Linked DNA regions of Elephas maximus indicus. The protein of the gene in region 1 interacts with the protein of each later gene in a biochemical or structural test. Links are inferred from orthologs where the notes say so. Each region holds a gene or a part of one and is shown on either strand. Other genes may lie near its edges.

The links.
Region 2: the proteins of MSN (region 1) and ICAM3 form a complex in vitro, tested with the Homo sapiens proteins (2 studies listed by BioGRID). The link is inferred for Elephas maximus indicus from reciprocal best matches to the Homo sapiens genes MSN and ICAM3.

The regions. Positions count from the first base shown.
Region 1 is NC_064846.1:108,667,161-108,682,762, reverse strand, and holds the start of MSN (moesin), read right to left. Parts: upstream 9,826-15,602; 5' UTR 9,618-9,825; coding exon 9,606-9,617; intron 1-9,605. UniProt on the Homo sapiens protein: Ezrin-radixin-moesin (ERM) family protein that connects the actin cytoskeleton to the plasma membrane and thereby regulates the structure and function of specific domains of the cell cortex.
Region 2 is NC_064821.1:28,434,157-28,449,758, reverse strand, and holds ICAM3 (intercellular adhesion molecule 3), read left to right. Parts: upstream 1-3,260; 5' UTR 3,261-4,105; coding exon 4,106-4,187; intron 4,188-4,729; coding exon 4,730-4,996; intron 4,997-5,002; exon of another isoform or gene 5,003-9,854; coding exon of another isoform or gene 9,855-9,966; intron 9,967-10,370; exon of another isoform or gene 10,371-10,397; coding exon 10,398-10,463; exon of another isoform or gene 10,464-10,594; coding exon 10,595-10,900; exon of another isoform or gene 10,901-11,262; coding exon 11,263-11,547; exon of another isoform or gene 11,548-11,916; coding exon 11,917-12,171; intron 12,172-12,291; coding exon 12,292-12,540; intron 12,541-12,624; coding exon 12,625-12,818; downstream 12,819-15,602. Other genes in the region: RAVER1 (ribonucleoprotein PTB-binding 1), read left to right, coding at 13,122-13,385, 14,978-15,044. UniProt on the Homo sapiens protein: ICAM proteins are ligands for the leukocyte adhesion protein LFA-1 (integrin alpha-L/beta-2). ICAM3 is also a ligand for integrin alpha-D/beta-2. In association with integrin alpha-L/beta-2, contributes to apoptotic neutrophil phagocytosis by macrophages.

The DNA.
Region 1 (15,602 bases):
GGCACACACAAAGAGCTGGACTTATCAACTGGAAAGCTTTACCTACTCCAAAGGAATAGTTTCAGATGCTAAGAGCCCAGCCCCACCCCTACCCTCACACTCCAAGCCTTTTCAGGCCAAGCAAGACAATTCCCAGGCTGTCAGAGATCTAGGTAAGAGGCTATAAGGGGGCGACCAGGCAGTGGCAAGAGAGCAAAGAGAGATAAGAAAGCAGGGTGAAGAAATCACAGTCATTCCAGAGCTCTGCCATCTTCTTTTCTCTTCCCCTACTCCTTCTCCCATCAAAGGGCCTCACCTCCAACTCTAAACAAGCCCTAAACAAGAAGAAAAGTTTGTATAAACCTAAGGAAGGACTTCCCTGTACCAAAGGAGAGCAGGGCAGTCATTTGGGGGGAGGGGATAGTTGATGGGGGAGAAAATAGCCAAATAAGGCAGACTTGACTGGTAGGGAATCATCAGGAAAGGTTCCAGAAGCTGACGTCATAGGGAGGAAGTCTTTAGTCATCGGTTTCCTCCGGCAACTGGCTTAAGGACAGGAGGCAAACTCCAGCCATAGGAGAAAGGTAACCAAGCTAGATTTTTCCCCAGGCCCACCTCAGGCTCTGCTGGGGAAGCTCTTCAAGTACCCAAAGCAGAGAGGTACAGTGCAGCCCTAAAGCAAAATGGTAGAAGTACCTGCAAAGCACATGCTAGCTTACCATGGCTCAGTTACCAAGGCAAGTGGAGAACTTGGGGAAGGGGTCTTTCCTCTACTCCGTTTATGTATTTCTGACATTGTTGATATTTTCACATTAGAGAAAAGAAAATTCAAAGGCAAAGAGCTTAAGCAACTTTTGTTCTCAGGCTAGTCAATCACACAGAAACCCTGGTGGCTTAGTGGTTAAGAGTTTGGCTACTAACCAAAAGGTCAGCAGTTCAAATCCACCAGGTGCTCCTTGGAAACCCTATGGGGCAGTTCTACTCTGTCCTATAGTGTTGCTATGAGTCAGAATCGACTCGATGGCAATAAGTCTGGTTTGGTTTGGTTTTAGTCAATCACACATAGGGTTGCCTTGAGTCAGAATCAGCTCAAATGCAAGACGCTTGTTTTTTTTTTTGTTTGTTTAATCAGTCTGCTAGGAGTATCTGCAAGGATGTTTGGAGAGGAGTTTAACTCACTTAAAACCCTTGAAGTTAGCAAAATTTGTGCTACTTAACTAAAGACACCCAAACTGTTTGTTACCTTGACCTCTACCCTCTAACTCCATACTACAGATTAGTCAAGCCCAGTTACCCATTACAACAAGTGCCTCTTGCTGTACTTTGTCTACCTCTAGACTGAGATTTCTGAAAAAGTACCCAGGGGTAGGGGTGGGGGAAAGCACAGATTACACCAAGACAGTAAGATCAGGAAGCTCTTCAAGTACCAAAGGTACAGTGTAGCCCTGAAGCAAAACGGTGGAAGTACCTGAAAAGCATATGCTAGCTCCACCATGGCTCAGTAGCTAACAGAAGTGGAAAACTTGGGGAAGGGGTTTTGCCAAGAAGGGGTCTTCAACTCAAGAAAAACAAGATTTGATCCTACCCAGGTACCTAAGGGAGGCCAGGACTAAAGAGTAGAAAGGGAATGCTGACAAAGCCTGATAGGTATGCCTTGAGCCCCTTTTGTAGGCCCTGGCTCCTGTCATCTCCCAAATATACACCCAGGAAAGGATTTCTCAGGATTATATTTTGTTTTGTATAACAGAATGCCCACGTCTCAACTCTACTCTCATTAGGCCTTGGTCAACATCCTGGTCACACAAAGTACCTAATAGCAAATTCTCACAAGGTAGAAGGGTCACCAGGGATGGGAAGAAACTTCAACCTTCGAAGTCACCAATCACAGAGGCTGCCTGGCAAAACAGTACTGCTGCACAAGCACAGAACCATTAACTATGCCAGTGGCCTAGGAGCTATATCAACACTTACTTTATGCTACAAGCCCACTGAAAGGAACGTCAAATCTGGTGTCTGTCATTGGGCACAGCCAAAGGGCTATGCTTTGAAAGTCACCCAAGAGGCCCCTTCCCCAAGTTCAAAGTCCAGATGCTGAGCTGAACCCCAGCAAGAAAATTCCACACTCTTCAACCCATCACAACCACACATGAAGAAACCCTCCTCTCACACCTACCCTTTCCCACATAAAAAAACCCCAATGCCATAAAAAAAAAACTTTTTTTAAGACAAATTGATCTCATACCAAAGCCATTAGGAGAACTAAAAGCTATTTTTAGGCTGCTGTGCTAAAGAGAGTCATCATCAATCAAGCTCTGTTCCTTGGTTTAGTTCACATGGAAACATGAAGGAAGTAGCCTCTCACATACCTACTTGGAAAACAAAGATAGTAGCAGTTTTTAGTTAATTCACCCAATTCTGGGAAGCCCAAGGTAGTCAACTCCACAGATCCCTTCAGAAGTTTGTGCTAAATATGAAAGCACTATTGGCTCCAACTATCCCCAGAAAAAACAACTTGATCAGTGTTCACATGTACTTTTCTGTGGCTTCCTTGAAACGGTCAGCACCTCAAGCCTTCCCTCATTTTAGACAAGTTCACTTTCAAGAAAGCTACTTGGTTTATGCCTACATACCAACGACATCACTCTCTCACCTAAAATGTTCACTGTTCCAAGTGTACCCATCCTTCAAGGCTCTGTTCACATCCCATTAAACCCCTTTTCTCTCAAAACCTATATAAAATGGCATCTGAAACATATCTTTTTCTTAAACTGTTAAGTGAGGCAGTCCTAAATCTCCAAATAAATAGGAGGTCTTTGAAGGTAGCAATTATATCCTTCATTCATTTATTTATATACCTTACAGTAAATAGTAACCACTCAACAAATAGTGAGAATATAACTGCTTACCTTCCTTCTTACCCTCCCACCCAGCACAGGGTTGGGCATACAGTAGTTCAATAGATAATTACAACAACTAACTTATTATAAAAAAAATAGCACATATTAAATGCTAGGCACAGTTCTAATCACTTTACGTGCATTGCCTCATTTAATCCTCACAACAACCCTATGAGATTAAAAAAAAATCACTTTACGTGCATTGCCTCATTTAATCCTCACAACAACCCTATGAGATAGGTACTATTATTATCCCACTTTACAGCTGAGGAAAATGCAGCACAGAAATTAAGTAAATTGCCCAAGGCCACACAATTAGTTGGTCGCAGAGCTGGGATTTCAACATAGGCAGTCTGGTTCCACAGTCACCACTAGTCTATACTATCTTTCTATGAAGGCCTAACCACATCCCAAGAAAAGGTCCCTGGGTGGCACAAGCAGTTTGCGCTTAAAGAGTTGGCAGTACTAACTGAAAGGTTGGCAGTTCAAACCCACCCAGCAGCTCCACAGAAGAAAGGCCTGACGATCTGTTTCCATAAAAATTAACAGCCAAGAAAACCTTATGGAGCTCGCTTCTACTCTGTAAAACATGAGGTCGCCATGAATCAGAATTGACACCATGGCAATGAATTTTGTTTTCATTTTTTACCTGCTGCAGGCTTGGCCTACAAGCACCTAGAGGTGAGTGGTGAGGGCTGAAGCCAGGAGACACCAGTCTGTATTCAAATAGCTGCTTACAGCAGCAAATGTTATCACCAAATTGGAAAGACAAGTACCATAATGTTCTCCTAACTCAAAGAGCAGGTCAAGCTGGAGCACTGAACCAGAATACAAGGTCAGAGCTCAAAATTAAAAAGGACAACAAGAAAGCGGGGAATTTGGGTGGAGGGGCAGGAAGAGAAAACAGTCATTCTGAGGCCCCAGAAGAACTGAGTCATTGACTCACTGAAACCTGCTACACCAGAAGCTATTTAGGGGAACTCCATTGCAGCCATTTTGTTAACGTAATCAACACAGAGCCAATTCTCTGGAAATCTGCGTCACCTGGGTAAAGAGTCATTCTTCCAAGGCAGTCATGCCCAGTGGGAGAGCACTAACTTGGAAACTAGGAAAGCCTAGTTCTACTTTCAATGCTATTACCAACTTTATGCAAACCCAAACAAGATTCCTGACCCCTCTGGCTAGTATAAGGAGAAAAATTTACTCTCTTCCATAAAGCATATTAAGGCAGTGAGGCCTGCTCTCAAGCAGGAAAATGTGGCTAGTCACCTTTCCCCACCTCCCTTCAGCACACACATCTGCCTCCCACCACCCTTCACAGCCAAAGCAGAACACTCACCTTCCTGGGAAGTGCCACAAAGAGCCCCCACAGCATGATCAGAACCTGAACCATCTCCATATAAGGCAGCCTGTGAGGTCAGCTCTACACACTTGCTCTTCCCATGCCCATAATTACACCATGGTCAAGTCACCCCGGCATAGAGGGAGAAAACACAGAGTCCTCGTCAATGAGTGTCATTTAGAAGGCAGGCATTCAGTTCTTCCCCTACACTGAGGCCAGACAACTTGGATTTTAGTCCCAGCTCTATCATCAGTTCAGTCCTGAAGAAAGGACTTGCCTAAAGGCTCACTTCATTTGGAAAACTTTCCTGAGGACAAAAAAGATGATCTTCTTATCCCTTTCGTGAGTAATGGGACAGTTTTCTCATCTATATTTTCTGCCTCTCAGATTTCTTGGGAAGTTGCTTTCCCACTTTCAGTGTGTGCTGCCACCAGGCAGGGACGTGTATTAACTGTTTGAAACAGAAGAAACGTGTGTGTACTGCAAATTACTGTTTTTACAGGGTATTGTATTAGGAGGTGCATCCTGGAGGTGTGACTGTGCAAAACTTTTGCCTCTTTTGGCTGTTTTACAGTGAGATAAGCCTTGTAAGTATATTTCCAGGTTCCTGTGTGTTATCTGGAAATTGTATTTCTCATACCACCATCCTACCCCCGGAGACTAGAGGGACATATGTGTCCCACATAATCACACATAACCTACCCCCATAGTGCAGGGGAACATGTGTGTTTCCACATAATATTATTCAAAATCCACATTACCTACCAAAAATTCAGACACACTCGATGATTCAGCATGCATTCCATTCATGAAAAAACAAAAAATCAAAAGAAAATCACAAGTGGAAAATAATTCATACATGGAAGGGTTAGATGGAAAGAGAAGATATATTCTCAGTTCAGTTTACTTTCCATTTCCCAACATCCATCTTTCAAATTAATGGAGTCCTGAGCTAACCCTCCAAGTGATAGCTCCTGTATCACAAATTAGAACTTGGATTGAAGTTTTTCAGCTCTATCAAGCATGAAATGGAAGGAAGGATGAACAGCGAAACTAGTCAGTCATGACAAGACCACTCCCTTCACTTGACCAATAGACTGCCCAAAAGGAGACCACCTTTGTACTTTTTTTTTCTGTCTGTTTTTCTGAGGTGGAAGAGTAGGGTGGGGCAGTGGGGACAGAAGACTGTAGGTTGGAAGAGAAGCACATGATAAATTCAGTTCTGTCTTTGAAAGATCAGAAACAGACTGTTCTCAACCTGTAATGACACCAACTTTCAGCAACTGTGGTCATGATAGGCCAAACCCTGGTGGTGTTGGTAGCTAGGTCCTCTCCCCTCTGGGGACCCTGAGTCCAGAAATTCCAGTGAGCAGAGGGACTCTCAGGGAGATACAAAGGAACCTAGACAGAATATCACCAAGCAACACTATCAGAACAGAGTTCAAAATAATTATAGCCGTCATCTCATCTCATCCAGAAAGAATTAGATTTGGAGGAAGGGGGATAGACCAGATGACCTCTAATATTCTTTCCAGCTCCACCACTCAGTAAAGCAATCTCCCAAGAGGATGAGGCCAGGGAGAAGTAAGAATAACACTGTTAAAACAAGCTACTGTTACAGGCACCTAGAGAATAATGGAAAGTTAGCAGAACAGGGGTCAACCTCTGTCACGGACTCACCGAACAACCTTCTCCTCTCTAAGCCTAACAAGAGAGAGTATAGATTAGTTGGTGTCTTCGAGTGTCCCATAGGCCCTCCTGCTCCACCAGCTCCTGTCTGCTTAGAGATATGTTCAAGGAGAAGCCTAAAGAAAATCTCCAAGATGGTTCCTGCATTTTGTCTGTCATCTGTGCTTTCACAAAGGGTCAAGTAGGCTATGGATCCAAAGAAGTGGAGATGCAGGATCCAAAAAGTTTCTCTCACACACAACTTCCATTCCTGATCTCTCACCCCACCCCTGAAGGCTGCAGGCAGAACTGGTTCAAGGGTTAACAGTATGAGAGTCTACCTCCTATTCACCAAGTGCCACTTCAGTGCCATTCGAGTGGCTCAAGCAATGCTAGGAATGGCAGCACAATAAACAGTCCACACAGCCCCTGTTAAACTTTAGCTGAATGCAGACTCAGAAGCCTTCAAATACTTCAAGGAGCTGGGCTCTATGTTTGCTCACATGAACAGTCCTAGAAAATGACCACTTGAACACCTTTCCCCTGATTTGTTAAGCTAGGGCTGAAAACCCAGCAAACTGAAGAGGTTTTACTGAGATTGACTCTCTTATTAAGATCTGGATTCAAGTCCTAACTTTGACACTAACTTTCTATGTGGCTCTAGGTCAGTCCCTTACTATCTGTGGGTCTCAGTTTCTCCATTATAAAATGAGAGAGTTTTGGACTTGATAGTTGTAAAGAGCCCTTTCAACTCTGACATTTCATAAATCCTAAAGAGGGAAACCAAAAACTCAAGAACATCTCAAAATTTCAAAACAATCTCTTTTTAGGGAATCCAGGACAGCCCCAAAACCTTTGTGAGCTTAAAAAAATTACAGAGGGTAGGAAGGGGGTAAGACCTTTTCTAGAACTGTCTAATCATCACTATAAAGTACAGATGGCAATTAATAAGCTCCTCCATTCCAGCTACTAAAGCAGACTGAGGAAACTGGCATCCAGAAGCAGAGTCCACAAATGAGTGGGTCAGGGGAGAGGATGTTTTAACAGATTTAAGAAAGGCTGGGCAGATTAGAGGAGCCCTGGTAGCACAGTGGTTAAAGAGCTCAGCCATTAACCAAAAGGTCAGCAGTTGGAATCCACCAGCTGGGTTCCTTGGCAACCCTGTGGGGCAGTTAGTTCTACTCTGTCCTATATAGGGTCACTACAAGTCGCAATTGACTCGACGGCCACAGGTTTGTTTTGTTTGGTTTGGGCAGACTAGGAGAGACAATTGGCCGTAAAAGTGAAACCAACCCTGGATAGTCTGTAGACATCATTCATATGAATGAATGAGTTTGATTTTCCACTACCCTTCCCTATCTGTCATAATCCAGAAATAGCCTAAAACACACCACTGAAGAAGAGGTGGAGAATAGGGAATTTTTCCCCTTTCATTAAAGTTACTAGCTGGTATGCATTGGACTAGGGTGTGCCCCTGGACATTCCAGCATTGGGATGAGGAATGAGAAAAGTAACAGAAGACACCTTGTGACACTCCCAACTTTACCAGGAGACCACAGAAATTCTAACTTTGGTCACTTTGCCCAAATTACCAACTTCCTTTAATCTGAGGACCATAAAGGCCTGAAAACAGGGGACAATTTGCTTTGGGCATGAGAGAGGACTCAGACTTCAAGAACCCAATCAGTGGGTCAGCGTAGGGGGTTGATAAATAGTCTCTCAGGTTCCTTTCAGATTAAAATTTATGGTCTTAACAGGCATGTTTAGGAGTTGTTTCTCCTAAAAGTTGACCATTCTTTGAACCAAACAGCATGGAAAATTCTTGTGCTTCCAGTATCAAAATTCAGCCCTCTCCTTCAATATGATTCAAGTTTCAGTTAGTCTGCATAAAAAATACCTTTAGTATTCAGGCATCTTCAATACCCTGGGAGTGACCCCATACTCCAGTATCTCTTCATACCCATGAGAAGAATCACCATGTTGTATTCTTTGCCACTTTTGACTAAGATGGGATGGTTAAGGCAACTTTGAAGCAACTTCCAGGCCCATCAAGTTCTGTTTAAGGGTGGCATATCTCAGAATTAAGGACGAAAGACGTCACTAGGGAAGAGAAGTCATGGGGCTGACTATTCCCAGAGATCCACCCAACTGTTCAGTCAAAGCCACACCTTAAGAGGATTCAAGGAGTCAACCACAGAGAGGTAAGACTAAAGAGAGGCTCCTGGAAGAATCTTTATAATCCTCTGTGTTGGCAAAGACAGTGTTACACCAACCCCTCTAAAACCACTCTCTCTCACTTGTTGCAGGAAGGGTGTTGGGAAGACAGTGTGGGAAAGCCTCAAGTGGTAAAACCAACAGCAATTTAAAAGAGAGAGATGGTGAAAACCTATACGTGCTGAAAACTTGATGTTTCTGAAAGGCAGGGTTCTGGAAAGCCAAGAAAGACTTGGCAGTGAGACTGGAACACAGCGACGTGGCAACTGAAGCTCAGCATACACCCAGAGAACTAGGCCCCACACTCAACTTTTCTCATCTCAGGGGCCCTTAGCCCTTCTTAAGGCTACTAGCCACTATTTCCACTCTACAAGGCTTTGGCAGTCCTAGGGAGGGGGATCAGGAGCTCTCTGCATAACCTAACAAGCTGCTTGGACTAAGGGACTCAAACCAGGCCTGCCCGAGCAAGGGAAAGGCCCCAGCAGCCATTTGGCGTGACTTGCACAAAAGCAAGCAGGGCTCATTAGTCAGGCATACCCCTCCCCACCCCCTCCTCCTGGGCATCCGGGCCCCACTAGGCCTTACTCCCAGAAGGCTTCTGCTCTTCACCTAACAGCCTGTGGGGTGGAGACAGATCCCAGAGGCAACCACTACTCTAAAAAGGTGTGGTCCTACAAGAGAGAACTCACACCTCACAGAATGTCTAGAAGGCACTCACAGGATGGTCCTGAGGGGATAGGAGAGGAGAAGGGGGCATTAAGTAATAGGAAGACAAGGATTTGGCTGGTGGGGAGAAGGGAGAAACTAGTCTTCTCCCCCAGAAGGTGGGGCAGTTCTCTCCTCAGACTGGTTCCTAGTGAAGTGTTGGTGCTTTTGGGTAAAAGAGAGCAAAAACAAAAAGAAAATTTTTTCCTAGTGAAGTGTTGGTGCTTTTGGGTAAAAGAGAGCAACCGCTATGAATTCCTCCACAACTCTTTCCTCCTCTCCTGGTGGGAAACATCTGGAGCTGCCTAGGGAGGCTGTGGGAAAGGTGAGAGAGGGTGCAGGACCTGCCCTGAGCAGTTCCCTCCCTTTTCCCTCCTCTATTCCCATGGCTCCTCTAGGACAATAGCAGCCTTGCCCCAGAAAGGCGCCAATTCCTGAGCTGAGAGAAGTGTTCCCTTCCATACCAGAGTCCTCTCCTGTCTTCACAGCCCATCTTGGGCAAAGGGAGACCCCGGGCCCCCAACGAAGTCTTCCCCACTGCTGCATCACCAACGCAGAGACTTGGAACCTGAGAAAGAGGCCGGCCCCATCCTGCCCACACTTCTAGCCCAAGGGACCCTCTCACCCACAGGGCACACCAGACAAGGACCCCATTCCCGCCTCCTCCCCACCCTGGGCCTTGGCTTAGGTCCCAGCATTTCAGGTGGGCGGGTGACTAGCCAAGCTACTGGTCATCAGCAAGGGACCACGGGGGCCGGCTAGAGCCCCCGGGGCCGGAAGCACCCACCCCTGGCACTCACCGTCCTGGGCATGGTGGTGGATAAAGCGGCGGAGTTGGCGAAGTTTGGCTGGGAGCTGTCGGGCAGCGCTGGGCACGCAATACACACTGCTCAGGCTCGGGGGCCAAGCGCTCGGACTGGGTCCCTCTCTAGCGTCAGGGCGATTGCTCGGCTTCCTGCTAACGGGCCACGACTTCACAAACCCCACCCAGGAAAGAGCCGCCCCCGTCGCGCCGCCAGCTCCTTTATGTGGCCGGGCTTCCGCGCCGCTCCCCGCCCTTGCGCCCGCCTCCCCGCGAGCCGCTGGCCTCGCCCCACCCAACCCAGCCCTGCCCAGCAATGCCACACTGGCCACGTGGGAGGCCGGGCTAGGCCCGAGCAGCCCAAAGGGAGCTCTCATCCCCGCTCCTTCCCCACCCCCGCTTACAGCCCCTAGCCCTTTGCGTCAGGGCCAACTAGCCCCACCCCCACGCAGGGCAGGACCCTGGGCTGTGCCCTGGCAGATGCTTCTGCTGTTCCTGGCCGCAACTTTCCACTGATGAGGAACTCAAGATAGCCTGTTCCCTCTTAAGACAGCCCTCTTGGAAAGTTCTTCCTTTTGTGTATATGAGCTCCTTTTCTATGTGGCTGCCACCAGTGGATCTCAGCTCTTGCTCCCTGAGTACATACCCACCCCCCCCCCCGTGCTGTTCCCTAAGGAAAAAAAACCAAAAACCAAACCTGTTGCCTAGGAGTCGATTCCAACACATAGCGACCTTGTAGGACAGAGTAGAACTGCCCCACAGGGTTTCCAAGGAGCTCCTAGGGTAAGTAACAACTCCTCAGAGGTCTGAAGATGGATCCCAGGCCCCCCTGAAACTTCTCTTGGCTAAACAGCCCCAGCTCCTTCAACCCTTCGTCCATTTCTTCTGTAGGACTCTATATCCCTTCTTCCACCATATTTCCTCCCTACCCTTGCTCAGTCCTCATTTTCATCAGAATTAGGCTCCTCCATATCCTCTACTCACTTTCCTTCCACCAAATCCCAGTTCTCACTTGCCTCAAATCTGTGTGGATCCTTCAGCCCCTCCCCGGTACAAACACATTCACTTTCTGATGAGGCTATAATTCCCCAAGTTAGATGCACCCCTAGTCCACGCCCTTGGGGTGTGACTGCCAGCTTTCTTTCTACTTCTTGTCAAGGTCACAGAATCTCAGGGTGGCAGTGTTCTAGGCTGTAGCAATTATCTGTTTAATTCTGAGTTGTGGTTTGAAAGTGATTGGTCATAGTCCCTTTTTCTCCTATCCATGGCAACCTTATGGAAGCATGGTCTCAGTATTCTTTGTGAGTTAGGACACTTGAGGGATAGTGAAGGGAGCCAGCTTCGGACAGTGGAAAAGATATTTGAGTGGGGAGGGTGTGTCAGAATACCTGATTTCTTGTTGTGGTTCTGCCATTAACTCACTCTTTGACCACTGAATGGACTTGGGCAAGTTCCTTCCCCTCTCAACTTGAGATTCCCCTTCTGTAATAATAAACGGCTGGACTCCTAGGCTTCCAAGATCCTTTCCCATCCTGACGTTTTAAAAGGGTGAGAGAGGAAGTAGACACTCTAGAACATAGATGAGCCTAGCAGGGCTGCATATGGGCTGGCCTTGTATTTGTACTCAGGAACCAGCAGTCCTATTTTCCTCCCCCTCACCCAAGCTCAAAAGTGTCCATGAGTTAATGTGCCTCGGTTTCTTTCATTGATATGTCCTAGGGCAGGCAAGGAGCCCTGGTGGTGGAGTGGTTAAGAGCTCAGCTGTTAACCAAAAGGCCTGCAGTTCGAATCCACCAGCTGCTCCTTGGAAAACCTATGGGGCAGTTCTACTCTGTCCTATTGGGTTGCTATGAGTGAGAGTCAACTCCAAGGCAACGGGTTATGGCAAACAAAGCACTCCACCCAAGAGGCCTTATTGAGCTGAGCAGTTTGTCCAGAGGAAGAGCAGCACTCCCTGGAAAGCCTCAGCAGCAGGGGTAGCAGTGGCAGCCAATCACATTCCTTGACACCACCATGGTTCTTTCTTCCTAGAAGTTCAAAGAACTCACTGATTCCCTTATTCATGTTCACTTAGAACCCACAGGGGCTTGACACTAGCTAGGTTGAATGCCTAAAGGGGAAGGGGAAGTTGGAGATTCCAACTTCCTTTATCCAGTCTGGAAGGTAGAAACCCTCTGTGTGTCATTTCTCACCTCCCATGTCAACTGCCCCCACACATACACAGGAGCTAGTTAGGGAGTGTCAGGAAGCTAAGTACACTGTTTAAAGGGAAAGGGGACCACAGAAGTTTGGGCTGGGAGGAACAGGTCAGAGGGTGAAGGAGCTAGGGAAGCAAGTAGGGGGAAAGAAGGCTGAGGGAGGTTGGTGGGATTTCAGCCCCTAGGGAGGACATGGGTGGGAAATGGGGAAGGAGAGAGCATAGACTATCTGAAACTGGTTAGGTTAGCCCCCTTCAGGTTGGGGGAACTGAAGATCAGAAAACAGAAAGGGCTTACACTAGGTCAAGCAACTAGTGTATAGAATGGAGTCAGAGGATAATAGAGGATGCAAAGAGCTCAGTAAGAAGCTGTTGTAATAGTTGAAGCAAGAAATTATAAGGGCTAGAGCCAGATACAAGCTAGTTATGGTGATTATGGTCAAACAGCTGGTCATTGCTTAGAGGTTAGACATGGAACTCTCTGGCTAGGAGGGACCCATCTCAGTTATGCGCCTGCCTCCAAAGCAGACCAAAGGTAGCTGAGGTGCTCCCTTGTTCAAGATTGCCAGGGAAGCACATCTTTGTTTCCCGCCTCTTTGTAAACCATTCCGTGTCTATGCAGCCAGAACTTCTGATTTCCTCCCACCCACTATTCTGATCTTAGGTGGTTTGAGAAGTAGCTCAATCTTCCTGGGGCCAGAGTAATCTCCACAACTGGGTATAGATATGATGAGATTTATGCCAGTGTTTGTAGAGAGAAGAGATAGTAACAGGCTAAACATCCCCACAAAGGTTGGTTTCCCTGGGAGAGGGAAATAAGGTATGAGGAGACTTGAGTTTTTAGAAGAGTTGAATTCAGAGAATTCAAGGAGGGGCAGGCAAGTCTTTTTCAAGTGGTAGAGCTAGGTGAGAGACAGGATGAGCAGAGGGTGGTACAGGGACATTTTGCAGCTGGAGTTCAAGGAAGCTGGGAACATCCAGATCAAGAGTAGGGGCTAAAAGAGGAGATTTGGCCTGAACTTTATGGCCAAATATGAGAACCAGATTGAAAGGCCAAGGATTTCTTGGGGATTATTCTGGAGCTAAGTAAGTCTGGGAGTAAAAGTCATGGTAATGACAAGAAAGAACCGCATATGGCTGATTTATGTGACAACCTATGTATGCAAGCACTAGAGAGAAATGATATTGGACTTGTAATCACCTCCCCATATATCATTCCCACCCGAGATCTGCACTCACTGCGATACAGAAGCTTCTGCATTCTAAATGGCATTCCTCCTTCAGAGGATGCAGTGCTGGAGAGCAATATCAGAGAGCAACTAGATGGAAAGCACTCCTGGGGTACTTTGGATAAAGGCATTCCCCACCCAATCCATTGAATGGTAAGAGTATGGCAGACATACCCCAAGGAAGTGGACTAGGGGTACATCTATCACTCAGGACTTGCTGAGGGCCTCTTTTCATTTCCATCACAGTTGGTAAGTCCTTCCTTACATCTAATTTAGATCTCTTCTGCTTCACTCAGGGCTTTTGGTTGATCCTTAGGAATGAAATTAACTAAGTCTCTAAGATTGCTCTTCTCCATTCATAGAAAAGACAAATGTGACAGGGAGAAATGAGGACAAACACCAGCTTGATGTCACACACTTCAAGGTCTTCTATCTCTTCCTTCCCATGTGTCAGAGCCCAAACACTTGGCAAGCTGTTCCCCTTACACAAACAAGAGACTAGGCAGAAGAATATACTGCTCTCTTCCCAAAGGGAAGAGGCTGCCTCTTGGCACAGTATGGCTGAAAATACAAACTGCAGCAGTGGAGTTATCTTGCTTTTAACCGTCTTCAGTCTTCTATGCACTTCTTGAGAACAGAAGCTAGGGTTTGGGTAAAAGGAAAGAAGATAACATTAATGTACCGAAAACAGTGGGGAGGCTATTTCAATATCTAGCTTCATTTAACCCTAACAAGAAACTTTGGAAGTAGGAATAAGGACACTGAGGCACTGAGGAGTGAAGTGACTTATCCAAGAGTCTCATGATTCATTGATGGTGGGACAGGGATTTGGGCCCAGGTGTTGTGAGTCCAAAGTCCACCTTCTTTCCATCAGCCTGAACCTGTGACCTTCTCAGCTCTGACCTGTGACCAGGCAAACCCAAGGAAGGAAATATATTTTCCGATTTGTATCACTCCTGCGCCTTAATGGTCAGACTAGACAGCTTGAGATAGTGAGTGGGTAATAATAAACAGCAATGATAAGGCATCTTGCCAATATCAAATGCCTTAGGATCCTTGGTGGCGCAGTGTTTAAGAGCTTGGCTGCTAATAAGCCAAAGGCCAGCAGTTCAAATCCACCAGCTGCTCCTTGGAAACCCTATGGGGCAGTTTTACCCTGTCCTATAGGGTTGCTATCAGTCAGAATCAACTTGACTGCAATGGGTTTGATTTTTTTGGTTACATGAATATTTAGTATTAATAATATACTAATGGACCATAGTAAGAGGGGAGAGAATTTCTCTGTCTTTTCCTGTAATAAAGTTGAAAGCTTTTCAAGAGCTTCCCCCAGCCAGCCGATATCAATTCAGTTTGAGTCAATGTCCTCTTGGAATGTGAAATTAGTCCCACAGAGAGGGTCTCCTAGTCTCCCAATCAAGTCGCTAGTCCCTAGGCCTACCCCCTCATACCAGTGACTACACACGTAGTATGTCTGCATGCAGGGCCCAGAAGGAAAACAGCCCCCTTGAGCACAGGGTCCCTCCATGAACTGCTCATAGTGCAAACTCAATACACCTAGAAGGAACCTATCCATCTGTCCATCCCACCCGTGCATCTAGCAGTGATGGAGTGCCTGTTAGGTGCCAGGTTGTATGTGAGGCTCTGCAAGGGATGAACTCACTCCTCTTCCTTGCCGTGAGCTCTCCTCAATGGCTGTGTATCTGTTGGTGGTTTTGCTGTTAGTGTGGTCCTTTGTGTGCACATTGCCATCATCCTTAACTCTCCTCTGCCTGATGCCTGCCATTTGGTCACCAATCTCTACTGTCTATCTGTCCTTCACAGTTTCTCTCCCTCCTGCCTCCACTGTCAATGCCCTAGGTCAGCCATCTCTGTCTCTTGTCCCGGACTGTTGTAACAGTCTCCTCATTGGTTTTCCTGCCTCCAGAGTGCCCTCTGCATGGTCACCAGTGATCTTCAAAAACACAGCCTCCACCTGTTCTCAGCATTGTCAGGTGACTCACCTCCCCAACGTATGCGCGCACGCGCACACATACGCACACGTATGCACACTTAACTTTCTAGCCTTCTCTTCATCCCACGGCTCCTCAGCACAGACCTTCTATCCAGGTTACTGTCACCTCACCCAGCACTGTGTGCTTGCTCTTGTCTCTGGTCCTCTTGGGCCCCCACTCCTGCATGAAGTCCTCTCTTGATTTCTCCTGCTCTCCTTGTGCTCTCTGCCTCCCCCCAGCTCCTGTAGTACCCGCAGTCTGCAATGTTCATCTGGCCTCCTTTCCACACCCTGTCTTCTCAACTGCCACTTTTTTTTTTTCCTTTATTCCAGGCTGGGCTATGGCTGTTCCCAGAAAGGGATCATACTTTGTGTTCCATCCCAAAGGAGCCCAGGACACTTCCAGGCATATCTTTGGCACTCAGGACAGGTTGCTCAGCTAGGCCACAGGAAAAAAAGGATCTGCCATTCTCATTTTCAATCTGACAAACTTGTGTCTGTCCAGATTTTCAGAGGGACCAAGTTGCCCCTCACACTGCCTTAAGTTCTCCCCTGTTAGGAGACAAGACCAATGGAATG
Region 2 (15,602 bases), on another chromosome or scaffold:
TTCAACAGGATTGCAAGCCCTGATGTCTTTGCAGTTTTGAGCAGTATTTCCCCACCTGAAGGGGTCCTCAGAAATTCACAAGATGAGAGGTGTCACTGTCAGGACTTGTCTGCTTAATCTTCCAACTCCCTGTGCCTCCTCGGGCAAGTCACGCCACTTTTCTGAACTTGTTGCCTCAGCTGTAAAATGGAGAAAACCAGGGGCCTCGTGGGCTTAGGGCGAGGGTTAGATATATGCTGGGCAGTGTGCTGAGCTCTGTACATGTATTAAAGTGCTCAGTGATCACACCACTCCAGAAGGGAGCACTGTGATTGCCATGTTACCATTGAGGAGATGGCAAACACGGCTCAGGCTTGAGCCCAGTCAGCCCTGTGAGCCCCGTGAGGCGGTCCCACCCCCACTGCTGTGGACAACAGGGTGCAGTTGTGAGGCCACAGACTCTGCATTAGGTCCTTGTGTGCTGGTTCAGCTCACTGGCTGCTCCTGGCATCTCTAGAAGGTCGTTTTTAGTTATCCTAGAGCTGGCTCCAACCCATGGTGACCCCATGTACAACAGAACGAAGTGTTGCCCAGACCTTCGTCATCTTTGCGGTCGGTGTGCTCAAATCCATTATTGTGGCCGCTGTGTATTTTAAGTGCCTTCCAATCTAGGGGCTCATCTTCCAGCGCTATGTCATACGATGTTCTGTTGCGATCTATAGGGTTTTCATTGGCTAATTTTCAGAAGTAGATCGCCAGGGCTTTTTTTCTAGTCTGTCTTAGGCCGAAATGCTCCACTGAAACCGGTCCACCATAGGTGACCCTGCTGGTACTTGAGATACTGGTGGTGTAGTTTCCAGCATCACAGCAACACACACAAGCCACTACAGTATGACAACCTGACTGACAGGTGGCAGTCTAGAAGGTGGGGGCTCTGGACATGCCCACTTCACAGATGAGGAAGTTCAGGGTGGGACAGTTCCAACACGGTGTGATACAATAGCAGATACTTCATATCTTTCCTGGGCTGGGGAGCACCCTCTCCTCCCACCTGTCTCAAGCTCAGACATTGGCCTTTCACGTTCTAGGGTCCTGTTTTCCCACCCAGGTGGGGCAGTCATCACTCATGTCTTCCAGAGACTTGGTGGCCACTGCCACCACACTTCTTCCTGGGCTCCCCGCTTCTCTCTTCACTCCCTCTTGGCCCAAGGGACCAAGCCCCTGGCAAGATCTACCCCCCACAGGGCAGGGTTGGGAGCAGGGAGGGCACAGACATCGCCTGTCTCCTTTGCCAAGGGACATCTGTTCTTTGTGAATCACCTATTAGGGCAACATCCCGGAGTTCACAGAAGCCTGCGAGGGTCCCACAAAAGGATTTCAGGGGTCACAAGACCCCCAACCCATGTACCAAATTTCTGTGTGTGTCCATCCAACAAATATTCATTGAGAACCTACTGTGTGCCAGACACGGTTCTAGTCACTGGGGTACAGCAGTGAGCTAGGCAAAGATTTCCGCCCTTATATTCTAGGTGGGAGAGGCATTCAAGGGGCAGTAAGAAAAAAAAAAAAGGGGTTAGTAAATTATAAGTATGTTAGAAAGTGATGAAAGAAAAAACAGTAAATTATAAATATGTTAGAAGGTGATGATTTATGGGGACAAAAGGTAAAGCCTAAGGCTGAGTGACAGTTGTAAAATGGGTGACCAGGTGTGGTGAAACGAATTCCTGTATATGGCCTTTTACCTTGGTTCTTTGAAAAAACAGCTTGAGATTTTTTTCCCCGTAAGGCCTGAGGGGTTATCTTTGTCCTAGTTTTCTACCCCAGAGGGTTTGTTACTTTTGTCCAGGTTGATTGATATTTCCTGGGTAAATTGTGAATAACTTGATTTGATACTTTTGGTCTGGTCCTGGGCTGCAGCCTGCCCTGTGATTGGTATGCACCTTGCAGGGATTTGTTGATAGACTATGCAAATGAGAGGAGGTGTAGCCTACTATGCAAATGAAGTGTCTGAGGCCTACTGAGAGGGGATTGGTCAGCTTGTGCCCACCCCCATTGGGAGGGGCCATGCCTTGAAATTGACAAGCAGTTGTGTATATAAGCAGCCAGCACCACAGAGGTTTTTGAGATAGAAGCAGGAAGAAAAGCAGCAGAGAGAAGAGACAAGGAACCTCCTAAAAGGGCTGTAACCCAGGTCAAGAGCCATAACATTAAAGACAGCAAGGGACCCAGTGGCAGGGCCAGGAGCGACAGGCCCAGCTTGGGCCCATGGCAGAGTGGGCAGTAATGGATGGCAAGGCCAAGAGGAGCCTGTCCTACCGAGAGGAGCTGAGAGAGCTGTCCTGCACTGAAGAAGGGGACTCTGCCTACATGCTTCCTGATCCTGAGTTGTAGTCTGTTACTTCCTGAATAGACCACTTAACTATGCTCTTTGAGTTCTGTGTGGCCACTGCAACAGATTATCAAGCCCAGAAGAGAAGTAGAGTGCTGTGGGAGGAGTGGTTGGTGTCAGAATCGGTAAAAAGGCTGGAGAGTGGAGGTATGTTTGGTCTCCAGCTCATAGTGATCAGCCTTGGGCTGATCTTGAATTGCATTGTCCTCCCTGAAGTTAGACAGGTTCTGATGCTGCTACTGATACTGCTACTAGTACTACTACTGCCCCCATTTTACACCTGGGAAGGCCTCACCTGAGTAGATGGAGGTGAGGGAGGAGCCATGTCCCCCCGTGTAAATATAGAGTGGTCCAGGCAGAAGGAACATCATGTGCGAAGGCCCGGAGAGGGGACTGTTCTGGGTGAGTGGTGTGGTCTTGAGGCACAGCAGAGAGGCCAGTGTGGCTGGAGCAGAAAGAGGAGAGGAAGCTGGGAGGAGCTAAGGGCAGAGGGGTCCTGAGCAAACAAAAGGAGCAGCTAGGCCCAGGCAAGGAGTCTGGAGGATGTGAAACAGAGGGAATGACGGGATTTGATTTGCCTTTTGAGTTGGTCTCTCAAGAACTGTGGCAAGCGGATCTTTTGGGGGACAGAGCAGCAGCAGAGAGACTTAGTTGGTGGGATCTCCAAGCAAGAAGGGGCGGGTGCTATGGCCTTAGGGATGGGGAAAATAGATGAATACCAGGCACGGCACTATCAAGGCCCTCAACAAGGTCTCTCTTATAGAACTGGGATAGAGGCACAGGAAGTGAGGAGGCTGGTGGAGAGCTGAGAGAGGCAGAGAAGGAGAGAGGGCAGGGCCGGGGGGAGGGGAGGGGAGGAGAAAGGGCAGAGCACTTTTCTTGGAGTGAAGAAACAAGCTGGAGGGGCAAAGGCAGGGTGCAGGACAGGGGTAAAAGCCAGTTACAAGTGGCATCTTCAAGACAGTGGCCCAGGACTCGTTCCTAAGACACCTGCCTTGGCACTGCCTGCAGGGAGTGGGAGATCCTCAAGATCTTCAAAGGTAAAGGACCTTCAGGGGCCATGGCCTTGCTCAGGGTCAGCACAGGGCCTGGCATCTAGTAAGCGCTCAATAAATGTGGGTTCTGTTCATTTTTATGGCATCTCTCATCCTAGGGGTTCCTCACTGTCACCCCCAAATTCTTTATTTGCCCCCCAGAATGTTAAAATTTCACACTAACTTCTTGAGGCTATGCTTAAAAGTCTCCCATTGTCACCCCCTTTGAAAGTTTGCCTTGAAATCCCACCTAGCGCCTCGAGGACAGTGCCCAGAGGGCCCCCCCCGCATTAACTTCCCTTTCTAAGGACCAATCACCATCTCACCCAGTTCTGAAGGAAGGTGTCTCATCACCCCCGCCTCCCCGCAGGGTCCCTGTTGGTGAAAACAAAGGAAACCAGTTGTGTTAGCACTTCCTGTGGGTTCACCTGGGAGCCAGCAGTGCAGCTAAGGTCTGCCCTGTCAGAGACTTGCCAGTGCCCAGCGACCCCACCCCCACCCCCGGGGCTTCTTGGGCCCCGCACCTGCCGAGGTAGCCCACTCTGGGGCCACAGAGAATCCCCCTGCCCCTCCCTGGGCCTGGCCACAGTGCAGCCCCTGGCTTCTGCCATCCTAACCGCCATTTCCGTTCCCTGGGTGACCTACCCACCCCCTGCACTGCTGGCACCTCATCAGGGCACCTTTTCCCCAAAGACTGACCACCATGGTGCCCTTGGCACCACTGCTCCAGGCCTGCCTGTCTCTGCTCATCCTCCTGCTGCTGGTCTGCTGCCTGCTGCCCCCAGGTGAGTGCCTAGGGTTGGGGGGACTAGTAGGTTGGGGGCGGGGAACGGAGAAAGCACAGCTGCCCACATCCTGCTGGTCTGGTTGCTGTGCGCCTTTCTGGGAACTCGAATCTGATCGGAGCTCCTCCATGTCCTCTGGAGAAAGTCGGGCTCCTTAACTGGGCTTCAGGGATCCCCACAGCCCGGTCCTCTTGTGTGACTTGTGCTACACACGCACACTCTCCATGAGCCATCAGGACCCCCAGCCCTTTGCGTATGCTATTCCCTCTGCCAGGAACACTTTTCCCTTCTACATGGCTAACTCCTATCCACCTTTCAGAGCTGGCTGTAGGTGTCTGTTCCTCCAGGAAGCCTCCTGTAACCCACTCTCTCCTTTAGGGTGGATCAGGGCCTCCCTCGGAATTCTCCCCGTTTTTTTTTCTGGTCATCTGTCTTCCCCACCAGACTGCTTCCCCTCATATCCCAGCATGAAGAGGGGGCCTGCAGAGGGGTGGGTTGGGGGATACTGGAACAGCCACCTGAGCTTCCTCATGCCCCCGCAGGTGCCCAGGGGCAGGTGTCCCCCCTGCGGGTGGAGCCCCAGAACCCAGTGGTGCCCACTGGAGGGTCGCTCCTGGTGAACTGCAGTGCTGACTGCCCGGATCCTGAAAATATCATCCTGGAGACGGCCCTGTCCAAGCAGCCAGTGGGCAGTGGACTGAGCTGGTCAGCCTTCCAGCTCAGCAATGTGACTGGTGACAGCGACATTATCTGTGCTGGGTTCTGCAATGGCTCCCAGATTAGTGGCTCTACCAGCATCACCGTGTACCGTGAGTGGACGGGGCTGGCGACTGGCAGCGGGCAGCAGTTGGGGGCTGAGTTTGCAGGAATGGACCAGGGCTCTGACCCAGGGCTGGACCTGGACGTGTGTGTGTGTGTGTGTGTGTGTGTGTGTGTGTGTGTGTGAGAAAAACAGAAAGACAAACACATACAGACATACATCTCAACCTTTTGCCAGGGGCCCAGTTGTGAAATCAATTTATTTGGGTCCCAATGAGCAATTTTTAAAACGTTATCTCATGTCTTTTATTTATTACTTTTATTCTGATGGTAGGTAAAAATTAATGTGGTTCAAAACCCAAGAAATATAAAAAGATGTAAAGTAAAAATTGTCATTTGCCTAGCACTCACTGCATATGGGCATTATCTTAAGGGCTTGACACCTATTTGTTCATTCAATCCTCACAAAAGCCCTGGGAGGTAGGTGCAGTGATAAGCCCCATTTCACAGACAGGGAAACTGAGGCTCAGTGGGGTGAAGTCACTTGCCAGTGGCAGTCCAGCATCCAAGTTTCTGCTCTTAACAGGTAGTCTTTCTTCCCAGAACTTCTATCCCTGTTACCAGTGTTTTAGACATCCTTTCAGAGTTTCTCTGCATTTTAAAAAATAGAACAGACTAGAAAATAACAGACGATGTCACACATAGTGACTACTATTTTGTGAAGGCTTTGTAAGTGAATGTAGTGTACCTGTCTGAGATTATGAATATGCCCGTGAGTTTGTGTGTGTGTGTGTCGGGATCTGTGTGGCAGTTTTTCATGTACTTACGTGTTTGTCCCTGAGCCTATGTATCTGTGTATGTCAGTATTCGTGCGTGTCCGTGTGAACGGACATATATATCTGTGTTAGTGTCTGTCTGTACGGGTGTCTGTGTCTCTGTGTTTGTGTGTGCCTACAGCTGTGTGTGCCTGTGTGTACGTGTCTATCTCTGCATGTGCTGTCTGTGAATATATATGTCTGCAGATCAGTATCTGTGTGTATGTGTCTCTGTTGTTGTTGCTGTCAGGTGCCCATGAGTCAGTGACTCTACATACAACAGAACGAAACACTTCCTGGTCTCGCGCCATCCTCAAAAGCATTGCTGTGTTTGAGCCCACTGTGACAGCCATCGAGTCAATCCATCTCCCTGAGGGTTTTCCTCTTTTTTGCTGACCCTCTACTTTACCAAGCATGATGTCCTTCTCCAGGGACAGGTCCCTCCTGATAACATGTCCAAAGTACATGAGATGAAGTCTCACCATCCTTCTTTCCAAGGAGCATTCTGGCTGTACTTCTTCCAAGACAAATTTGTTCTTCTGGCAGTCCATGGTATATTCAATATTCTTTGCCAACATCATAATTGAAAGGCAGCAATTCTTCTTCGGTCTTCTTTATTCATTGTGTAGCTTCCACATGCACATGAGGTGATTGAAAATACCACGGCTTGGGTCAGCTGCACCTTAGTCCTCATCTAAGGCTGGGTTCTCTAGAGACACAAAACCAGTGAAGTGTATAAATATATATATAGAGAGAGATTTATATCAAGGAAGTGGCTTATGTGGTTGTAGAGACTGGAATGTCCCAAGTCTGTGGGTCAGGAGGCTTCTCCTGATTCACATAGCCGCAGTGCCTGGAGAACCCAAGATTGGTAGGTCAGAGAGCAGGGCTGTTGCTCACAGGCTGTGAAGACTGACGAATCCTGAGATCGGCAGGCAAGACCACAGGTAAGATGCTAGCTTAAGTCCCAAGGACCAGAGGCCAGATGAGCAGGAGCCACCTGCAGGAGCCAGCTGCAGGATCCAGAGAGAGTAAAAGCCCACCAGAATGTCCCTTGTCAGAACGTCCACTTATATTCGATGCAGGCCACACGCCCAAGGAAACTCCCTTTCAACTGACTGCTCACAGCAGATCCCATCATGGGGGTGATCACATTATATCAAATCTCAACATGGAAGTGATCACAACATCATACGATTGCCAAACCACTGAGAATCATGGCCCAGCCAAGTTGACACACAATCTTAACCATCACAGTCCTTAAAGTAACATCTTTGCTTTTTAACACTTTAAAGAGGTCTCTTGCAGCAGATATTTCCAATGAAATACGTCCTTTGATTTCTTGACTGCTGCTTCCATGGGCATTGATTGTGGATCCCAGTAAACTGATATCCTTGACAATACTTTCTTTTTATCAAGATGTTGCTTATTGGTCCAGTTGTAAAGATTTTTGTTTTATGTTGAGGTATAATCTATACTGAAGGCTGTAGACTTTGATCTTCATCAGTGTTTCAAATCCTCATTGTGTCCTGGAACAGAAGAGTCTGAAACTTGCTCTTGAACATAGAGTAGCTAAAGCTAATGGAAGAAATGAAGTAAAAGAGATGAACAGAAGATTTCAAAGGGTGGCTTGAAAAGACAAAGTATTATAATGACATGTGCAAAGACCCAGAGTTAGAAAACCAAAAGGGAACAACACTCTCAGCATTTCTCAAGCTGAAAGAATTGATGAAAAAATTCAAGCCTTGAGTAGCAGTATTGAAGGATTCTACAGAGAAAACATTGAATTGCACAGGAAGTATCAAAAGAACATGGAAAGAATACACAGTCACTGTACCAAAATAAATTGGTTGATGTTCAACCATTTCAGGAGATAGCATATGATCAAATACCAGTAGTACAGGAGGAAGAAGTCCAAGCTGTACTGAGGGCACTGATAAAAAACAAGGATCCAGGAATTGACGGAATACCAATTGAGATGTTTCAACAAACAGATGCAGTACTGGACGTGCTCACTTGTCTATACCAAGAAATTTGAAAGGCAGCTACCTGGCCAACAGACTGGAAGAGATCTATATTTGTACCCATTCCAAAGAAAGGTAAGTCAATAGAATGCAGAAACTATCTAACAATATCATTAATATCACACCCAAGCAAAATTTTGCTGAAGATCATTCAAAGGCGGCTACAGCAGTACATCTACAGGGAACTGTCAGAAATTCAAGCCAGATTTAGAAGAGGACATGGAACGAGGGATATCATTGCTGATGTCAGATGAACCTTGGCTGAAAGCAGAGGATACCAGAAAGATGTTTTACCTACGCAAAGGCATTTGACTGTGTGGATCTTAACAAATTATGGATAATATTTTGAAGAATGGGAATTTCGAAACACTTAATTGTGCTCCAGAGGAACCTGTATATAGACCAAGAGGCAGTAGTTCGAACAGAACAAGGGGATGCTGCATGGTTTAATGTAGGGAAAGGTGTGTGTTGGGGTTGTATCTTTTCACCATACTTATTTAATCTTTATGCTGAGCAAATAATCCGAGAAGCTGGACCGTATGAAAAAGAACGTGGCATCAGGATTCGAGGAAGACTCATTAACAATCTGCAATAAGCAGATGACACAAGGGCGGTGAGGAGCGGACGGGTCATTGGCAGGGCTAGGGAGGGGGCAGTCATGAGCAGAGGGGACGAAAGTCCTGCCACCCTTTCCTGGGGCATTTTCATTGCCCCGCCTGGAATATCCTCTTGGGACATTCTGCGGCATGGGTCACCCCCCCACCCCCCAGTGACTCTGTATTCTTTCCATCTTCTTTTGATGCTTCCTGCGTAATTCAGTGTTTTCCCTGTAGAGGCCTTCAGTACTGCTACTCAAGGCTTGAATTTTTTCGTCAGTCCTTTCGGCTTGAGAAATGCTGAGAGTGTTGTTCCCTTTTGGTTTTCTAGCTCTGGGTCTTTGCACATGTCATTTCAAGCCACGCTTTGAAATCTTCTGTTCATCTCTTTCACTTCATTTCTTCCATTAGCTTTAGCTACTCTATGTTCAAGAGCAAGTTTCAGAGTCTCCTCTGACATTCATTTTGGTCTTTTCTTTCTTTCCTGTCTTTTCATTGACCTTTTGCTTTCCTCATGTATGATGTCCTTGATATCATTCCACAACTCAACTGGTCTTCTGTCATTAACGTTCAATGCATCAAATCTCTTCTCGAGATGGTCTATAAATTCAGGTGGGGTATACTCAAGGTTGTATTTTGGCTCTTGTGAGCTTGTTTTAATGTTCTTCAGCTTCAACTCGAACTTGGATATGAGCAATTGATGGTCTGTTCTACAGTTGGCTCCTGGCCTTGTTCTGACTGATGATATAGTCAATTTGATTCCTGTGTATTCCATCTGGCAAGGTCCATGTATATAGTTGTAGTTTATGTTGTTGAAAAGAGAGAGGTATTTGCAATGAAGAAGTCATTGGTCTTGTACCATTCTATCATGTCTCTGTATGTGAATGTATGTGTATGTCCATGTCAGTATCTCTGTGAATATGTCTGTGCCAGTATCTGTGTCTGTATACATGTTTTTGTACCTGTGGGGCTACTGTGTATATCTGTGTGTTTGTCTGTGTGTGTGTCCCTGTCTCTGTTCATGTGTGTGTCTGTGAAATTTGCCAGGATCATGACCTGGGAGTGGACCTGCCTGTGCATCTCTCTGCTGACACTCCCTGGGATACCTCTGTCCAGTGCTGAGCTGGAACAGTCTGTCCTGGCTCATGAGAGTCAATTGTGCTCATCCCTTCTCAACTCCGCATCAGTGTGGTAGCTTGTAATCAGCCATAGTGAGAGTATTTACACCACAGAAAATGGCAAATGCTGTAAGTCGGGGATTTCCTTCCCCCAACCCTGACAGCCCAATTACCAGCATTTCCCAGCAAACTAGAGTCCCTGGCCAGTGGTACCCAAGGTTAAGATCATACCTTCCTTGTTAAATATTCTAAAATTGTAAATATTTAGATACTAAATATTTTTCCTATCAGCCCGTCCGTGGCCTCTGTGCTTGAGTTGTCAAGTGTGAAAGTGAGATGTTCCCCAAAGGAGGCCATGGCATTTGTCTGCCATGGGCATGCAGCTGCAGCTGGGAGGAAACTGGCCTGGGGACCCTTAAGACCCCCCAGACTGTGCCAGAACACCCTGAGGAGGCCACACGTAGCAGGTGAGGTGAGAGTTTTGGGTGCCCGGAACTGATTGGGGAGGGCTGGACCAAGTTCTTCGAGTGGCGACGGCAGGGTTCTAGGCCAGGATGGAGTCCCTGGACATGACAGCAACGAGGCCAGTGGACACCTGGGTCTAGAGTTTGGGAGACCTGGGCTAGCCTGGGCTCTGCCACTTCCTGGCTGTGTTCTTGGTAAATCACCTCACCTCTCCTGGCCATCCATAAAAGGAAAAAATAGAGCAAATTTCACTAAGCTGCTATGTCGATGAAAGCGGGTGACACCTGGAATGCCTAAGGAAATCTCTAAATAGAAACTTTCTATGATTACTATGAATATCTCAAGTGATGATAAATGTTAGTCCCCTTCCTTCATGACTTTTTGTTCTTAATGGTGAGATCCTTGGGAAATAAAAATCTGACTTTTATTTTAGGGCCTGGCAAGGTGTCTAACAACACAGGAAACAATAATGACACTAACGACAATAGCAAACACACAGGTGCAGTTCTAAGCCCTCTACCTGGACTGATTCAAAGTTCACAGTTCTGTGTGGGGCCTCCCTCTGCCTCCCCCCACTCCTGGAATGGGGGCTACAGGGCCAGCTGACAAATGCCATCTCTACCCCCACAGGGCTACCGGAGCGCATGGACCTGGCGCCCCTGCCCCCCTGGCAGCCAGTGGGCGAGAACTTCACTCTGCACTGCCAGGTATGGGGCGGAGCTCCCCGGGCCAACCTCTCCATGGTGCTGTTTCGCGGGCAGGAGGAACTGGGCAGGCAGCCCGCAGTGGGGGAGCCTGCTGAGGTCACGGCCACAATGCCTGCGCGCAGGGAGGACTACGGCGCCAACTTCTCGTGCAGCACGCAACTGGACCTGCGGCCCCAGGGGCTGGGACTGTTGGAGAACAGCTCGACCTCCAGGCAGCTCCGAACCTTTGGTGAGGCGTTGGGATGCCCATAGAGAGGGCGGGTTTAGGGGGGGAGAGGGGTTCCTGTTTGGGGTGCAGAACTCCGGGGGAGGTAGGACCTCTGCCTGCGGGGTACTGGATTGCAGAGGCTTCTGGGAAGAGCTTCCCCGTAGCCACTGGAGTAGGGTGTCCCGGGATAGGGTGCCCACGGCAGCAGGGTCTTTTGAGAAAGCTGTGATCTCCGGCCAAGGGGTGGGTGTGTCCTGGGACGGGGGTGACCCATGCCGCAGAGTGTCCCGAGAAGAGGATATTCCAGGCGAGGGAATGAAAATACCCCAGGAAAGGGCTGCAGGACGTCCATGCCCTTTGCTCACACTCGCCCCTCTCCCTAGCCCTGCCAATGACCCGTCCGTTTCTCACCGCTCCTCGTATCTTGGAGGTGGGTAAAGAGACCGCTGTGAACTGCTCCTTGGATGGAGTGTTCCCGGTCTGGGAGGCCCAGGTCCACATGACGCTGGGGGACCAGATGCTGAATTCCACGGTCGTAAGCCACGGGGACGCGCTCAGGGCTACAGCCATGGCCACAGCGCGCGAGGAGCAGAAGGGCGCCCAGATTGTCTGCAAGGTGACCCTGGCAGGAGAGAGCCGGGAGACCTGGAAGAATGTGACCATCTACAGTAAGAAGGGGCGGGGCGGAGCCAGAACGGCTCAACGGGTGGAGCAGAGGTGCCCAGCCTCTGGCCTCTGTAGCCCGATGGGCGTGGCAGAAAGAGAGCAAATAGGGACTAGCTAGTTGGGGAGACCGGGCCACAGGAGCCCAAATGGAAGGAGTTGCACGTGGGCGGGGCCTGAGTAACCCGAGAAATAGAGTTTGAGCGCCCTAAATTGGGCGGGGGCTCACAGGAGTGAGAAAGTGCGAAGAGGGCGGGGCCTGAGGAGCCAAAAGGCGGGGTCTGGACAACCTGAGAAGGAAGGGGCGGTGGGGGCGGGGCTGGCCGACGGGAGGGGCATGGCCAAGAGGACTGCTGTACAATGCCCGCCCTTAGGCTTCGTGGAGCCCATTCTGAACTTGAGCGAGGCCAGCGCCTCTGAGGGTACCATGGTGACTGTGACTTGCATGGCTGGGACCCGAGTCCAAGTTATGCTGGGCGGGGCTCCGATCATGGCCCCGGGGCAGCCCGCCCAGCTCCAGCTAAACGCCACCGAGAGCGACAACGGGCGAAATTTCTCCTGCAATGCTACGCTGGAAGTGGACGGGAAAGTCCTGCACAAAAATAGAAGCGTCCAGCTAAATGTCCTGTGTGAGTTGGTCACCCTGACCTTTAATTCCCTGCTCCCCTGAACTGAAAAGACTTGACTCTCCCTTGCCCCGTTGTGCTCAGGGTGTATTAGGTGTGTCTGATCACATGGCTGTTCCACAGACGGTCCCAAGATTGACCGGACCAAATGCCCCCAGCGCTTGATGTGGAAAGATAAAACTTACCAGGTCCTGCAGTGTCAGGCAAGGGGCAACCCGGATCCCATGCTGCAGTGTTTGCAGGAAGGCTCCCGTATCAAGGTGCCCGTCGGGATCCCATTCTTCGTCAGGTTATACCATAATGGCACCTACCACTGTCAGGCCATCAGCCCGCGGGGCATAACCACCGTGGAGGTGGTGATGGAAGTTCAGGGTGAGCCGAGGCGGGGCTGTGGGTCTGGACGGGTAACTCCAGGACTGGCCAGGGCGCGTCTTCACTCCGCGCTTCTCTGCACAGATCGGAACGCCCGCTCCGTCACCATCGCCATGGTGGTGTTACTGGTCTTGAGCCTGGTGATTGTCACAGCAGCCTTACTGTACGTCTTCGGGGTGCAGAGGAGGAGAGGCAGCTACTGCGTGAAGCACGAGAGCACTTCGCTGCCTCTCACGTCTACACAGCCCGACGGGCTGCCGGGGGAGGAGCCGTCCTGAGCTGCGGGCCTCCGAGATGCCAGGCCAAAGACCACGTGGTTGCTGGCTGTATCCTAGTCCACCTCAATAAAGCCTTCAAGCTCCGGAGTCTGTGGCTTGATTCCACCGGCGCCCCGGAACTCTCCCAATGCACTGCGTGTTCTCTGAGCTGCATTGGGCGGTGGAAGGGGGCGGAGTCTATGGCGGCCAGATGGGGCTAAAAGTCAGAGAGGCGTGCTGGGCCTTAGCCAATGGGCTGAAGGAGTAGGGAGGGAGGCGGGGCTCCACCCAGCCAATCGACGGGTGCGCCCTCGTTGCCGCTCTATGCTGCTCCGCCCCGGCTCGCTGGTCCCAGAAGGCGCCGGGTTTCCCAAGATGGCGGCCGACGTGTCCGTTACTCACCGGCCCCCTCTGAGCCCAGAGGCTGAGGATGAGGCCGGCGATGCTTCGGAGCGCCGGTTTCCCGAGGAGGAGCTGCCGCCGCTAGATCCAGAGGAGATCCGGAAACGCCTGGAGCATACCGAGCGCCAGTTCCGTAACCGCCGCAAGATACTGATCCGGGGCCTCCCGGGGGACGTGACCAACCAGGTATGGGGGGGGCGCGGTGTGGGAGCGTAGCGGGAAATACCATCCTGCGCGTGCGCGGGGGGAACTGGGCGCCACCAACCTGACGTGCGTGGGGGGCGCCGGCCGGAGAGTCTAAGCGCGGTATCCAGGCAGGTTCGGGAGAGACCAAGTTCTGGATGTGGGGGGCGGCGATGGAGGAATAATCAGCATTGGGCTGAAGGAGGACGTTGCTAGGGGCGACCACAGGCTTGGGCGAGACCAAGTGACTGAATGGGGCGGGGAATGGAAGGGGGCGGGCTGCCTTGGCCGTGTTGGGGGTTCGTGAATGGGCAGCCTAGATTAGAACTTGTGGATATCGGGACGCCAGTTGCTACCTGTGCAGATTTTGCTTTGCCTCCCCCCGCCCCCCACTACCACGGGATGGCAGGGCCTCATCCCCAGAAGTTTCAGGTTTCCCTGGAGTATGCCCTTCCTATCACACACTGATGCAGTCCTCTCCGAGATAGATCCGGAAGTTCTATAAGTCCCTGGGAGCTCCCTTTCCACAAACCCTCAAGATTAGTTTGGAAGAAGGGAGTTCCTGCCACCAATCCACAGACCGGCAGGACAGGGGGCCCTGTGTTCTGTGGCGCCCCCATTGGCTGATCCTCCAGCCAGGAGTTCCCTTTCTCTCGAGGCCTAGCTGGGGCAGGCCTTCCCGATGCTCTTTGGACTCAGAGAGATGGCATTCAGTTTGCCCTACCCTGGTGGAATGAGTACTTTCTGCTCCTGTGCACTCAGGCCCACCAGCACACCTGCCACTGGCCCTCCCCTGCCCACAGGTGGGCTTGTGGCTGGTGGGGCCCTTGGAGTGTTGAGAGGGGTGTGATTTGGGGACAAACCTGGGCAGGCGCTGCTAGGCTTGGTCTGGCTTGTTTTGAAGCCATTCCTTCACCCACTGCCCACTGTCTCTCAGCTGGGAATGCACTGTCTCTCCCACGGGTGCACAGTGTGTCTGGCACAAACAGGCCCCAGTGTTTCACCCCCGCAGCTGGCTTTTGAGATGGCCACCAGTGCCAGCAGAAGGCATGTGTAACTACAGGGTGTGGGCTTGTTAAGTACATGGGCTTCCTGGGTAGCCCTGGGTAGCATTCCTGTGGCTTCCCTGACCAACTGCATGACCTTCAGCAGTCCCTTCACCTCTCTGTGCCTGTTTCCTCATCTATAAAATGGGTTTGTTAATACCTAGCTTGTAGGGTTGTTGGAAAAAGTCAAGAACATCTTGCAAATCGAGGTCTAGATGGGTTAAATGACTTTCCTAAATGGGTTAAGTGACTTTCCTAAGAGCTGGAATTTGCACTGAGACCCACCTAACTCTGAGAGTGTGGTGGTGTCCCTAAAAGTCTGCAACCAGGCTCTGAGTCCCAGCTCTGTCATGTATCACTTAATGGCCTTGGCAAGTAGCAGCTCTGAGCCTCAGTTTGCTCGTTTGTGAAACGGAGAAGGTAACATAGGCATTCTATGTTAAGTGCTAGAATAGTTGTTGACACCAGTAAGCATTGAGTAAGTGGCACTGGATTGCTCCTCCCTTCATCCCCTCCTGACTCCCTGTCCTTTGGCTTTTGTCTCTGCAGGAAGTTCATGACCTGCTCAGCGACTATGAGCTCAAGTACTGTTTTGTGGACAAATACAAAGGGACAGGTTTGTGAAGCTGGGGGTTTGGTGAGGGTGATGCTGGGAGGGTCCTGGCCTAGCTTTTCCCCTCCTGAGTTCCAGGCCCAACATCACCCCTCAGGCCGGTGCAGCAGGTTGCCCCAATGTGTCCCTCACCCTAGGTGCCCATCTTAGAGCATCCTTGATGTTGCTGTTCCAGGTTGCTCGGCCAGATACCCAGGCACTGGGCCACCCGTCCCTGCGCCTCTCCCCCTAGTCACCCAAGCCTGTCTAGTTCTCTACAGAATAATCTGATGCCGTTCTACTCTCATGGCTTCCACCTGATCCCTGTCACCTCCATTTCTGCCTGGAGGGCAGCCTCCCTCTAGCCTCTCTGGCTCAGCCATTTCCTTCTGCTTCTCCTCCTTCAGTCAGCCAGCTCGAGTCTGACTGCAGATCTGATCCAACCTGATCCTAACCCTGAGTGTTCTTCTCTCCTGAAAATCTGTCTGAGGCTCTTCCTGTGAGGATATGTCCCAGCCTCACCAACTCTTCAGGGTGCCCGCAAGGTTCCAGATTGTTGCCTGTGCCACTGCTCTTAGCTGT